Linked DNA regions of Cricetulus griseus. The protein of the gene in region 1 binds, or shares a complex with, the protein of each later gene. Links are inferred from orthologs where the notes say so. Each region holds a gene or a part of one and is shown on either strand. Other genes may lie near its edges.

Region 1 (4,152 bases):
AATTTCTTCAACAAATTGTGCTGACAACTGGTCATTCATATGTGGAAGAATGAAACTAGACCCTTATACCATATACAAAAATTAACTGAAGATGGATAAAAGACTAGAAGTAGGTCCTTCAACTATAAAACTACTAGAGAAAATGCACAAAGAAAACACTATGACATTTGTCTGGGCAATTACTGTTAAAACAGATCTTCAGTTCTGATAGTTTTGCCAGTGTTCTTGTTGGCATTTTTCTTTCATGATGTTATCATCCCACCCACTGCTAGCCTACACAGCTGTTTCTGAAAGACAAGCTAGAATGGATGGTCTGCTCCTTTTTTGCTGTTGCTGAGAATTCCATATGTGCATGTGTGTTGTACCATCTGTTTTTAAATGAAATGGCAGTGTCAGAAACTATGGCTATCAAACCAGTGCTGGTTGATAGTGCTCTAAGTGCACACAACCATCACCTATGTCCTTGCCGGCTGCATTTCCCTGTTTGTAATCCAGAGCCAGGGCTATGGGATAGTGTTGTTGCAGTTTTATTCCACTGACCCAGTTTTTGTTTTGTTTGTTTTTTCAGATAGGGACTCACCAAGTAGCCCAGACAGACTGGTCTTGGGTTTTCCATCTTCAGTCTCAGACTTCCATGGGCTAGGATTACACGCATGTGCAACCATATCTGCTCTGGCCAATCATGCCAAGTAAATTCCTGAAAGCAGGCTCTGAATCTAGCTCACCGACCTTTCAGAAGGGATCCCTGGCTGTGAAGAGCGCTCCTAACTGTGCCCTCTCCATGGTGACTCACCTGTTTCACAGCAATGCTGACCCGGACAGAATTGATGGAGCCCTCAATCAGAACCTTTTCCTTCTCATTCCTGCTGATAGTAACAGGTTGCAATAGGAGTTCTTTGCTACTCCTAAAAACACAAAATCAGAGGACCAAGCTGATGCCATTGACTTTCTAGGTATCTGTAAAGGTCACCACTTGAAAACCATGTATATCAAGTAACAACACAGTCCATCCTAACGTTAGAATTGTTTGAGTCACAGCAATCATTTTGGGGATATGGCTCAGCTGTAGACTGTGTGCCTAACATGCCCAAGGGCCTAGATTCAATCCCCAGCAATAAAAATACCTTCATTACCTATTTGGTAACACAACTTATTTCAACTATGTTCATCCCAGATTTTCCCCCCTTTGCTTCCTTTTTTTTTTTTTCTTCTTGAGACAGGGTTTCTCTGTATTGCTTTGGAGCCTGTCCTGGAACTTACTCTGTAGACCAGACTGGCTTCAAACTCACAGAGATCCACCTGCCTCTGCCTCCTGAGTGCTGGGATTAAAGCTGTGCACCACAACAGCCAGCTTCTTTTGGTTTCGTGAGAAAAGACCTGTTCTGTAGCTACGGCTATCCCCGACCCTGTGGTTCTATTGCTATTGCCTCAGCCTCCATGTGCTGGGATCAGTAGTCTCGCATATCCTTGCCAGGTGAAATTTCAAAAAGGAAAAATATTTATTTACTTATGAAATGAAAGCCAGACAAGACAAAACTGCATTCAAAACATGGAATATTTGGGTGTTAGAGGGTCTAAACTGTCTGGCACTATTAATGAGATAAAAAGTAAAAAAAAAGTCCTGATCCTTAAATCATTAATACAGAGATGTCAACTCTAGGAACTAAAGCCTGTGCCTTCTTCTGGAGCTGCCAGTGGCCTCAGTAATGCTACCGGAGACACTTCTCCACAGCGCTACTCCAGGGGCCACACTTTGGGCTATGTAGGTCTTCCATGGGTTTTGGCCTGTCAACATGGCCCCTTTAGACAGGGTCTGCTCTTGTGAGTTGTTCTCCTCAGCCCCATTCTGACCCTCTTCCCTACCTGACTTCCACCTCTGGCTTGTTGTGTCGTTCCACGACCTGGGAGGAGAAGTTCTCCAGACAGAGGGCAGCCTGCAGTGTGGCCCGCACGGCACTAAGGTAGGGGCGGAGAGTGGCAGTCTGCAGGAATAAACCCAAGATTAGGAAGGACCAGAGTCTACCACACCAAAGCCATTATCCCCCTGCCCCCGCCAAAGCTCCTATGGAACACACAATACTGAAAGCTTCAGGCGTGGTCATCACACAGAACAGAACACACCCAGCCTTCAAGATACAGCCCAGTCGGGAGTCTGCAGCAGTGGTTCCCAGCAGCAAACAATTCTACTTGGCATTTAGCAAAATTTGGAGAAAAAAAACTGTTATGACTTGGGGGCTGGGTGGGGACTATGGACGTAAGTCATGCCACCCAACATCTGGGATGCACAAGAATTACCCAGCCCCAAAAGCCACAGTGATGAGGCTGGGTGATACTGATCTAGATGGGTCCACGCCCTCCACCTGCTTCCTACATGGACAAATGTATTGATCCATGCCCTGAGCACACTGGGAATTCAGTCAGATAACTTCTGCTCTCAAATAACTCAACTGGATGAGATCACAAGGACTAATGGAAGGCAAAATGTAAAATTAACTAGGTTTATAAATAATCCATACTACGGAAATTAGTATGGACTAGACACAAGATCAGGAAGGTGTTTGTTTTGTTTTGTGAGACAGGGTTTCTCTGTGTAGCTTTGGAGCCTATCCTGGCACTCGCTCTGGAGACCAGGCTAGCCTCGAACTCACAGAGATCCGCCTGCCTCTGCCTCCCGAGTGCTGGGATTAAAGGCGTGCGCCATTAACGCCCGGCCTTCGAAGGGTTTACAATGAGAAAAAGTAGACCTGGGACATTCTCTGTAGCAGACAAGGTCAGCTTAATGATCAGCTACATTATTTCTCAAGTTATCTCTGTCTCCCCTCAGGGCCTATCACATGCTGGCCATCACCTGCATTCTTTCCTCCTCATTGCTTAGGTCAGTCCGTCAGAGCTCAGCTCACTGAAAAGGCCTCTTCCTTCCTCAAAGTGGTCTTCTTGACTTCCTCCTCAGTGCATTTACCAGAGTTTATGATATGTACACTTTACCATAATTCACAACAAGACATTCTTCATGTATTTTCTTAAATTGGTTCTCCTTCACTAGCTTGTAATTCTCATGGTCAACACACATTAACTTTATTCAGTTATGCTGGTTGCAACTAGCTCAGTACTTCCTATACATAGCATTTTACAAATTTCCTGTAGAGTGAACAAATGAACCGCGAGAAGCATTTTAAACTGCATAGACCAGGCTGCAATGGCAGGCTGGGATAAAAACCCTAGACAATCTAGAATGCCAGTTCACTGAGTTAGCCTTTCTCTCAATGTGGCAGGAAGCATTGGGACTTTCTGAGGAGGAAGTTACATGACTTCAGCAGAGGCTCTCTGGAGAATGGAATGGAGGGAAGTGAGACTCAGAAGAGGCACTGAGTACAGACTGGAGTGGAGAAAGCACAGCATCACAGGGGACAGCCAGACGTTAGACAGAGGAGGGAAAGGCTAAAAACACAACTAAGTTTGCACGTAGCCCGGTGCATTATGTTTTCTCTACACACTAGAGAATTCTATTTATATGTTAACCAAAAAAAGGCAAAACCGGAAGGGTGAAATTAGTAGTTGTCTGGGGTAGAGTGTACCCTTGGAAGAGTGATAGAATGTTCTCTACCTTCATTGAAGTAATGGTTATCTGATTATTTTGTTAATAGTCAAAGTAAGAAAACTAAAAGTGAATTCTAGGTGGCTAGTCCTGTGATGTCTGCCCTTTAGTGAATAGAAGGATCTCAAGTGCAAAAAAACTTAAATGCTTAAAAATGAAAAGCTACATCCTCAGTCAAAGGGATACGGCTTTCAGGCTGAGGAATGAAACCAGTTAGGGCATGGAACGCAGGAGAATGAACAAGTTTAGAAAAAGCATGTGACTTTTGAACAAGAGGGTCTAATTTCAAGGTGTCTCTCCAGAGTCGAGTCACAGGAGCATGGCAAGCAGTCCGGCATTTAGAACTGAGGTCATCAAAGCCAGCATGACCGGGGAAAGCAGTAGGAAGAGAGATGCAACAGTACGGAACACCCACAGACACCAAACCCGAAAAAACCTGGAAGGGAAGGGCCAGCGGTCATCAGCGCTTACACACATTAAGGTCAACACCGTACCGCACTACGAGGAAGGAGCCTGAATGGAGGCAACACCACAGAACCTTCATTGAGGCCTGGAAG
Region 2 (3,650 bases), on another chromosome or scaffold:
TTGTCACTCATTTTATCTTGCACAAAAAAAGTTGCTTAGCTATCATTTGATGAATGAATGGTTTTGTTCACAGCAGACATAAAAAGCAAAACCAGGAACCAGCATGTGAAGTTGTTCATCAGTACGACTTTCCCTGTCCTTTAGCTCATACCTACTCACCAGAGGTGTGGTGTATCTTACTCCTTTCACAAGCTTAGAAAGAGGCTAGTGGGAATTGCGGTAGAGTTTAGCTGGTAGAGCACTTGCCTCATGTGCCTGAAACCAGTACTGTGGTTATCTAGACCTATCATCGCAGCACAGGCACTGGGGAGGTAGAGATGGGAAGATGCCCTCAGAGTCCGTCCTCACCCACATAGTGAGAGGTTGAAGGGGTGGGGGTGGGGAAACAGGCTCAAGGAAGAGTCATGCAGTCTTGATTGGAGACAGATAGAGGAAGTGGCAGATTTCAAAACTAGGGCTTGGGTCCTGGCTAGCTGGAGGATGGGAAACCTGTTTTGTGTGGTTTCTTTTGTGGAATGCTCCCACCAGAAGGAAACACATCCTCACATACCACATTTCTAGCCTAAGGATATAATCCCAGGAGGCAGAGGCAAACTGACCACTGTAAACTTGAGGTCTGCTTGGTCTACCTAAGGAGTCCCAGGCCTGACAGGGCTGCTGAGTGAATCCCTGTCTCCAAAAGAGCTGGTGCTGGGGAGAAGGAAGATTCAATTGGCCAAGTGCTTGCCACTCTAACATAAGGACTCCACAACAGTAGCCAGTCATGGCAGCAAACCCTATAAACCTAGTGCTGCAGAGGAAAACAGGAGGGTCTCTGGGTTTGTTTGCTGGCCATGGAGCCAGTAGATGAGCTTCAGTTTCAGTGAGAGCCCCTGTCTCAGATACAAAGGTGGGGACACATTGAGGAAGACACCTGACACTGACTTCTGACCTCTGCACACAAACACATGTATGCCTACACACATGTGCCCCCAGATCCATGAAGACAAACATACAAAATAGTAATAAGATAGAAGAGAATGTTAAGTACATAGGCAGCGGGCTGGAGAGATGACTCAGCTGTTAAGAGCACTGACCGAACTTCCAGAGGGCCCCAGTTGGATTCCCGGAAACCACAAGACAGCTCACACCTGTCTGTAACTCCAGTTCTAGGGGGTCTGACACCTTAACACAGACATGAATGCAGGCAAAAACACCAGTACATGTGAAATAAGATTAAATAAATTGCTTTTTCAAAAAAAGGAAGAAAGGCCGGGCGGTGGTGGCGCACGCCTTTAATCCCAGCACTTGGGAGGCAGAGGCAGGTGGATCTCTGTGAGTTCGAGACCAGCCTGGTCTACAAGAGCTAGTTCCAGGACAGCCTCCAAAGCCACAGGGAAACCCTGTCTCGGAAAAACCAAAAAAAAAAAAAAAAAGGAAGAAAGAAAGAACATAGATAGTAAAGCCAGATGTAGTGGCACAGGCTTAGCACTCAGGAGGCAGAAGCAGGCAGATCTCTGTGAGTTCCAGGACAGTCTGATCTACAGAGTGAGTTCCAGGACAGCCGCAGCTACACAGGGAAACTCTGTCTCAAAAGCAAAGCAACAACAATAAACAAACAAAACACACACACACACACACACACAAAAAAAAAAAAAAAAAAAAAAAAAACAGTAAAGCCTATGGTGGTGCACACATTTAATCTCAGCACTCAGGAGACAGAGACAGGTAGATCTCTATTAATTCTAGGCCAGCCTAGTCTTTGTAACAAGTTCCAGGACATCTGGGGCTACATACATAGCAAGACCCTGTCTTGGAAAGAAAAAAAATAAGGACATAGGCAATGGTAAAATGTAATTTTAAAATGGTGATCTCATTGGTGCTAATTACCTCTTTTGCATATCTGATTTAGTTTGGGGACATGGCTGTGCTAAACAACCAGCTGACAGAATGTCTCAGAATCTGCTGCCTAGTCCCATTGCTGCTGCCACCCCTCTCCTCCCAAAGGTGGTCTTGCTGGGTGTTTTCACCGGGTGACACTGGTTCTCTTTCTCTTTGTTCCCTGGCTTGCCACTTCAGGCTTACCATTCTTCCCTCATGGACCCTGACACGAAGCTCATCGGCAACATGGCGCTGTTGCCCATCAGAAGTCAGTTCAAAGGACCTGCCCCTCGAGAGAGTGAGTCCCTGTGTTCTTTTCCATTTGGGTGCAGAACGTCCAGCCAGCCTCTGACATGAGATGAAGGAAGAGCACAGCAGGGTCACTTTCCCTCTGCTGTGTGTTACACTCTACATCTTGAGACATCACAGTTGCGCTGTCCCTTCACACTCTTTCAGGGTGTGTGGGTGAGCCAGAAGAGGAAATGTGGGCTGGGGGTGCAGCTCTGTAGGTAGAGACCTTGCCTAGCATGCAGCAGGAGAGTGTCGGTTCCGCCCAGTTCACTGTGAGCCAGGTGTTGTAGCGCACACCTGTAATCCTAGCACTTGGGAGGTGGAGGCAGGAAGAGCAGAAGTTCAAAGTCATCCTCAGCTAGTTCCAGGCCAACTTGGGCTACATGAAACCTTGTCTCAAAAAAGGGAAAGAGGAAATGTGTTCAATTCTGGCCGCAGTCCCCACAGTCACTGTCAGTCAGGTTAGACTAACTGAATGCCAGGTCCTCAGCCTTCTTTTGTCATCATACTGGAAAAAGACAAGCAACAAAAAGTATTATATGGGCACGGTGCTGTACCCAGGAGGCTGAGATAGGGGGTAGCTGGAGTCTGGTAGTTCAAGACTAGCCTAAGCAACACAGGGAGACCTATCTCCAAAACAAGAAAAATGAACCCTTGCCCATTACAGCTATTACTGCTCTTGTCAACTTTTAAAAAAGTCGTTTGCTTTAGGCTGTGTACTTGTTTGTATGTGAGGGTCTGCATGTGCCCCAGCACACAGGTGGAGGTGAGATTATAAACCACTTCGGGTTCTGACATCAGTCTTGGGGCTCCCAACTCAGCTTTCTCTGCAAGTGCTTTTACCCTCTGAGCTATCTCCATGGTCCACCCCTTTGTCTGTTTCTTAGTCTTAGGGTCTTTATTTTTCACCAAACCCCAGTGTTAGACCTTTTTTGGGGGATATGTCAGAAGAGGTAGAAACTCTGGTGGGCATGGAAGTGAAACCAAGCTAACCTCAGTTAGTATGACCCTCCGCCTGCTTCCCTAGTGCTGGGGTAACAGGCGTGTGTCCCATGCTTCAATCCTAACTCTTCCCTATGCTTTGAAACCCTGTTCATTTCTATTCTTGCTTTTGTTTTTCTGAATTTTCTTTTTGTACTTCTAGTGTTTTTTGTTGTTTGTTTGTTTGGTTTGTGGTTTTTTTCTTTTCTTTTTTGAGACAGGGTTTCTTTATGCAGCCCTGGCTGGCCTGGAACTCGCTCTGTCTCCCAATGCTGGGATTAAAGATATGTGTCGCTGCCAACACCAGGCCCAGAAGCCCCTTTTCAAACCTGAAGCTTTCTGACATGTTCCGAGATGTTCCGCTCGGTGTTGGTGTCATTTCTGTTGTCTCAGACACAGCACCCCAGAGCCTGCAAATGTCTGGCTCGAATTCCAGACACAGTTTCCAAGACCAGTTACAATTCCCAGCTGTGTCCTCGTCCCTTTGCCCTTCCTCTGCCAGATGATTCGTTCACCTT

The links.
Region 2: Arpc4 (region 1) and Arpc3 share a complex: the UniProt entries of both Homo sapiens proteins name them as parts of the arp2/3 complex. The link is inferred for Cricetulus griseus from reciprocal best matches to the Homo sapiens genes ARPC4 and ARPC3.

What each region holds. Positions count from the first base shown.
Region 1 is NC_048601.1:31,418,078-31,422,229, forward strand, and holds the start of Arpc4 (actin-related protein 2/3 complex subunit 4), read right to left. Parts: upstream 2,949-4,152; 5' UTR 2,855-2,948; coding exon 2,849-2,854; intron 1,983-2,848; coding exon 1,864-1,982; intron 906-1,863; coding exon 794-905; intron 1-793. UniProt on the Homo sapiens protein: Actin-binding component of the Arp2/3 complex, a multiprotein complex that mediates actin polymerization upon stimulation by nucleation-promoting factor (NPF).
Region 2 is NC_048597.1:102,226,534-102,230,183, forward strand, and holds part of Arpc3 (actin-related protein 2/3 complex subunit 3), read left to right. Parts: intron 1-2,058; coding exon 2,059-2,158; intron 2,159-3,650. UniProt on the Homo sapiens protein: Component of the Arp2/3 complex, a multiprotein complex that mediates actin polymerization upon stimulation by nucleation-promoting factor (NPF).